2 linked regions of the Kluyveromyces lactis genome follow. The protein of the gene in region 1 interacts with the protein of each later gene in a pairwise test. Links are inferred from orthologs where the notes say so. Each region holds a gene or a part of one and is shown on either strand. Other genes may lie near its edges. The genes, in order: GLC7 and SDS22.

What was found.
Region 2: the proteins of GLC7 (region 1) and SDS22 interact in binary tests that used the Saccharomyces cerevisiae proteins (3 or more experiments, as listed by UniProt). The link is inferred for Kluyveromyces lactis from reciprocal best matches to the Saccharomyces cerevisiae genes GLC7 and SDS22.

Annotation. Positions count from the first base shown.
Region 1 is NC_006042.1:1,158,128-1,161,324, forward strand, and holds GLC7 (type 1 serine/threonine-protein phosphatase catalytic subunit GLC7), read left to right. Parts: upstream 1-1,418; coding exon 1,419-2,354; downstream 2,355-3,197. Other genes in the region: EMP24 (Emp24p), read left to right, coding at 3,080-3,197.
Region 2 is NC_006040.1:237,382-240,549, reverse strand, and holds SDS22 (type 1 protein phosphatase-activating protein SDS22), read left to right. Parts: upstream 1-1,411; coding exon 1,412-2,500; downstream 2,501-3,168. Other genes in the region: guanine nucleotide exchange factor DCK1, read left to right, coding at 1-353; ACP1 (acyl carrier protein), read left to right, coding at 670-1,035; KLLA0_D02794g (putative alanine--tRNA ligase), read left to right, coding at 2,704-3,168. UniProt on the Saccharomyces cerevisiae protein: Regulator of the mitotic function of yeast type 1 protein phosphatase.

The sequences.
Region 1 (3,197 bases):
AATATCCTAAAACGACAACCTTGGGAGACGTGGTCATCGCTCATTGTTACCCTGGTTTCGTTCATAACGATTTCCCTCTTTCCCTCATTTTGGTCTCCCCTATATCATCACTATACATCATTTCTCTAACTTATCGGGTAGGGCAGAACCAACGAAGTGAGAACACATCCAAACCAACGGATTCTATGCCTTGGTGTTGCCCGAAATAGCAAGGTGCGGTAGCTTATTGTACGCCCTTGTTTTATTTACTATATGTATTTTTTCATGTATCCCTAATGGAGAATGTAACGAACTGCAGCCTGCCAGCTCTTTACATCTTGATTCTAATAATAAATATGGTAAACGAGTGGAAAGAGAAGAAGAGAAGAGAAGAGAAGAGAAGAAGAGAAGTAGGCAAAGAAGGCAAGGGACGTAAATGTCAGAGGCTGCGTGCGCGAGCTGCGGTGCGAAATGCTAGGCAGAATATAGACACTGCTACTGCTGCTGCGCAGCAGCAGTAGCAGTAGTAGTAGCATCTTTGCCATCGAAACCCGACATCTCTGAAATACCTAGCACCCTCCCGCTCACAAACAAAAACAGAACACAACCCATTCCATAACTAAATAGTACATATACGACACTTGGCAAGGCAACACTGGGCACTAGCCCCATCCCTAGCCCCAGTTGGTTTTCCAGTCCAATGCGAAGCGATACCAAGCTGACACTGCGACTTCTTTTCTTTTTTTCCCATATGAAGGAGAACAAAAGTGAAAATTGAGAATTGAAAACTTTCGGTAACGCTTTTTGGCATTACTTACAACTTGTGTTTTATTCATTGGGAAAACACGGTATTTTCAGTGTTTTCCTTCCCATTTGTTTCCGGGAAGATCATCAGTATTGGCGCCAGCTCGAGTCAGGTCAGTGTGTGGTTATTGGCGACAGGTTTGAACACAATACGAAACGGTGTAGATCTCGTTTTTCGGGTTATTTTCTAATTCTATTTTTTTTCCTTTAAAACTCTGTGTGTGTTTTTCTATTATTTTTTCTTTCAATCAATTGATTAAAAAAAAAAATTAATATTATTAAAGAAAGATAATTATAAAACATAAGAGATTGAGAGACTTACGTTCATACGAAGGTTAGAAAGAATACAGCAGGGTCTGTTTGTTTGTAGAAATTGGAAGTGAGACAATATTGCATCTTCAAACCAGGGTAATTTCTACTAGTACCTTTTTTTATCTTTTAAAGTTGCGGGCTATATTCTATAATCTGTTTGCTTCGTTAGGAAAAAAAAATAAGGATTAATAAGAACCAATACTTTTGGATAATCCAAGACACGGAAGCATCACAGTTGCCATCGGTTACTTCAATTATTAAGAACGTTTGATATAGTACCGCGATAATTATAAAACAAAGGAACAAGGAATAAAATAAGAAAAATGGATCAACAATCAGTAGACGTTGACGATATCATTGATAGATTGTTGGAAGTGAGAGGGTTGAAACCTGGCCATCAGGTTGACTTGGAAGAACACGAGATTAGGTATTTATGTTCCAAGGCCAGATCTATTTTCATCAAGCAGCCAATCCTATTGGAATTGGAGGCACCAATTAAGATTTGTGGTGATATCCACGGTCAATATTATGATTTGTTACGTCTTTTCGAATACGGTGGGTTCCCACCAGAATCCAACTATCTGTTTTTAGGTGATTATGTGGATCGTGGTAAACAATCGCTAGAAACCATTTGTTTACTGTTGGCTTACAAGATCAAGTATCCGGAGAATTTCTTTATCTTGCGTGGTAATCACGAATGTGCATCGATCAATAGAATTTACGGGTTTTACGACGAATGTAAGAGACGTTATAACATTAAGCTTTGGAAAACTTTTACGGATTGTTTCAACTGTTTGCCTATCGCTGCGATTGTCGATGAAAAAATCTTTTGTATGCATGGTGGATTATCCCCAGATTTAAATACCATGGAACAAATCAGACGTGTGATGAGACCCACCGATATCCCAGACGTGGGGTTATTATGCGATTTGTTATGGTCCGATCCGGATAAAGATATCGTTGGATGGTCAGAAAACGATAGAGGTGTCTCGTTCACTTTTGGTCCTGACGTAGTGAGTAGGTTTTTACAAAAACAAGATATGGAATTGATCTGTAGAGCACATCAAGTCGTCGAAGACGGATACGAGTTTTTCAGTAAAAGACAATTGGTAACATTGTTCAGTGCTCCAAACTACTGTGGTGAGTTCGATAACGCTGGTGCTATGATGTCTGTTGATGAAAGTTTATTATGTTCGTTCCAAATCTTGAAACCAGCTTCTAAGTTATTGGAACGAAACGTAGTGAGAAGAAAGAAATGATGAATTTAAATTTAAACCTTCTTAATCATCATCATCATCATCATCATCATCATCATCCTCATCTCTCCCCCCCCTTTAAACAACGAATCCCATCTCAAAGAAAATCCCCAATGAAAAAACCAGAAAAAAATAAACTATTAAATTCAAACATAAAGTATAAGATATATTACTGGAAAAACTTGCTGAGCTAGAACGTTTTCCTTTATACCTTTCTAATATATTGTAACATAATTTCTTTGTCGAATGTCAAGCGGGCTGCTACAATTTCAATTTCAAACCTTTATCTCCACTTTACTCTCTTATCACCCTTTTACACATATCCCATCATTCATGTTATTAGTATATATATACGCAGTGATATATACATATATATATATATTCTACATATTGCAAAGGAAAATTCTGTAGATTAGCCGTTGAGCCTTTTTCCATACATCAATCGACTAAACCAATAACACGTACGTTAACATAGTGCTGTAGACACATCGTGTTTTTTAGCATAGACTGAAAATTTTGGAAAACCCTCTTTTTTCGATCTTTCTATGTGTTATTTTTTTTTTTTTTTGGCAAAAAGTTGAAGTCGTGTTTTATTTGACGATCTGTTACTTACATGACATTTGTATTCACACACTTCATCGAGTTGAGTCCCTTCATCTTTGTTATTGCACTACCCTCAACCGTCTAGTGAAAAACAACTAGTAGCCAGAGAGTCCTTACATATAAGAATGCTATTACAATTTTTGGTGTTACTATTTGCTGGTTTGTGTAACGCACACACGGTACATCTACCAGCGTACGGTCGTCGTTGTTTCTTTGAAAACTTGAACAAAGGTGACGAGCTAT
Region 2 (3,168 bases), on another chromosome or scaffold:
CGCTTTTGAAGGACTTATTCGCCAAGAATTTCGAAAAAGAGATCAAAGTTAGCGGAATCGATATCAACGAGACCAACGACGAAATAATCGCAAGAATAAAATCAATCCAGTCATCTCAGCAAAGTTTTTCCAAGAGAAGTAGTATGCTAATGTCAAGATCCATATTCTCAGAGAGCCACTCTATCAGATCTGCTGGAAGTAACGGAAGTGCAACAAAAAACAGTATGCATGATCTCACCGTTACCTCTTCCCATAGAACTACAAAAAGCAACGCGCCATCTCACGCAGCGTCACATGCTACGAGAATATCTCGTCCTACCACACATATCAGCATGCTAAGAAGCACAAGATAGCATAGAATAACTTTCTCCCACTGCAACTGTTCTAATTCTCACCTCATGTAGTCTATATAACAATCCAAATACATTTAGGAAAACATCAAAACGTACGGAGTGATTTATGTGCCTAAGCAATTTTTCCCGGTAAAAAATCGATCAAAAGCCAATTCTTTGCAGAGAGAGAGTTTGGATTAAACCTTTCTACCACAACTATTTTCAACGATCATTTGTTGTACATTCTTTTTATTTTACATTCGATTATTTCAGATCGTTGTTACTGTACAGTATAGTGTCTAGTGATATTACAGAGAGATAAAGAAGGAAAGCAAAGATGTTTAGAAGTGTATTCCGTGCTGCCCCAAGTTTGACCAGAGTTTCTGGATTGAGAAGCGGATTTGTAAAGCCAACTTTTTCAAGTGCTTCCAGGTTCTATGCTTCTTCTTCTCTATCCAAAGAAGAAATCACAACCCGTATTGCTGATGTGATTAAATCTTTTGATAAGACAGCTTCTGCTACTTCGATTACTGCTAACACTCAATTTTCCAAGGATTTAGGATTAGACTCATTGGATACCGTTGAATTGTTGGTTTCCATTGAGGAAGAATTCGATATCGAATTCCCAGATAAGGTTGCAGATGAGCTCAAGTCTGTCGGTGAAACTGTGGAATACATCGCTTCCAGCCCGGAAGCTAACTAAGCAATTGGGATCCGAAACGTTGCCCTTCGGTTTTACCAGAATTTAATGTGGAAGAATGTACATATATTGACACACATATATAACTTATAATGAAAGATAAGATAGTTTTGATGAACTGTTTCATGGCCAAAGTGCTATATGTAAACGTCTATTTGTATATCCTTATTACTCCATATGTTTGAACTTGATTTCCATCGGGTCATATGATTTGTAATTCAAACATTTTTCCTTGCGCCCAATGATCACTGAGTTCAATTTTTAAGGTTATGTAACATGCAAACCACATCTTTAGACAGACGGTTGTTGAGGTAAAGACAATGGTTATAAACGCCATTTAGTATTAGATCCGAACCCATATACTTCCAATATATAAAAAATGAGCCGTGAAGAGAGAGTTTTGAGTGATACTGATAATGAAAATACGAATGAGGAAATAGAGACTGGTATTGATTCCCCGGACGAATCATCTTCAGGGTTGTTCACAGCGGGACGCTCGTTACAATCGAACGTCATAGAAGACCACAACCCTGACTATATATCTGCAGATGCAGAATTGGCCGCAGAGATACCAGATGACACCGAAGTAATTGACTTAGTGCATTTGAAAGTACTGGCGTTGGAAGACTTGAATTTGTTGAGATTTAAGAATTTGAAGAAGTTATATTTAAGACAGAATTTGATCGAGTCAATAGCTGAACTGGAGGTACTACCGTTAGAAAACATGGAAGAGATTGATTTTTACGATAATAGAATCAAACACATCTCGAAAAGCGTTAATCTTTTCTCTAATCTAAAGACACTCGACTTATCTTTTAATAAGATTAGAACTATCAAGAACGTCGATAAATTGGTAAACCTCGAGAATTTGTATTTCGTCCAGAATAAGATATCTAAGATTGAAAATTTAGGAACCCTTACAAAGTTGAAAAATCTTGAGCTTGGTGGCAACAGAATCAAAGAAATTGGTCCTGATGACTTGAAAGGTTTGGCTAATCTCGAAGAGATATGGTTGGGTAAGAACTCAATCCCTAAATTGATAAACTTGCAACACCTCAAAAATTTGAGAATATTAAGCATCCAATCTAACAAATTGAAGAAATTTGAAGGACTTGAGGAGTTGGAGAACTTAGAAGAATTGTATGTCTCTCACAATTTTATTTCGAAGATCGAAGGACTTGAAAATAACCTAAAATTAACTACTTTAGATGTAACTGGTAATAGACTTACGAAGATCGAAAACTTAAAGCATTTGACACATCTTACTGACCTATGGGCGTCTGATAATCAAATTGATCAACCGTTCGAATCTCTAGGCGAAGAATTGGGGAAATTACCTGAATTTGAAACGATATATCTCGAAGGAAATCCAATACAGACTAAAAATCCTACACAGTACAGAAGAAAGATTATGTTGAATTTGGGGGAATCGCTTCAAAAAATCGACGCTACGTACGTTCGTGCCTAATTAAATAAATATACGCTACGCACTTCTATTGAATGAGCAGTTAACCAGTATTTGCTGCTTTTCCCTCAGTTATATATATGTATGTACATATCTAGCACAAACAACAGAACATCATTTACTAATCAATATTTTAACCAACTTACATCATTGATAAGAAGAGAGGAAAAAAGGAACTTAAAACATGTTAGTCGGCATAAAAGCTGATGGTAAGAGGCATAAAATTGGTCGGAACGTTAGCCATGGTTAAAACTGCAAACCACACTTTTGTTGGTTCTCTAGCCTGCCAACGAGACTCATTTAAGGCCAAAGAATTTGAGACTACTGTAATTGCATGCGATGTAGGTAAGAAGAAGAATACCTTTGAGATCGAACTTCAGGATACTATCTTGTTTCCAGAAGGTGGCGGACAACCTAGTGACTCTGGGAAATTCCTTCTCAAAACTGGGGCCTCAATTCCTGTCTCCTCAGTATTCAGAAGAGGACTGCATGCAGTTCATATCACTGATAGGGATGTTCCAGTCGGAGCTAAAGTGTCTGTTGAAATTGATTGGGATAAGAGATTGGACTATATGCAGCAACATACGGGACAGCACTTGGTAAGTGCAATTCTTGAACAGAAGTGGGGGTTGAAAACCCTCTCTTGGTCTATGGGGGGTATTCCAAGTGAG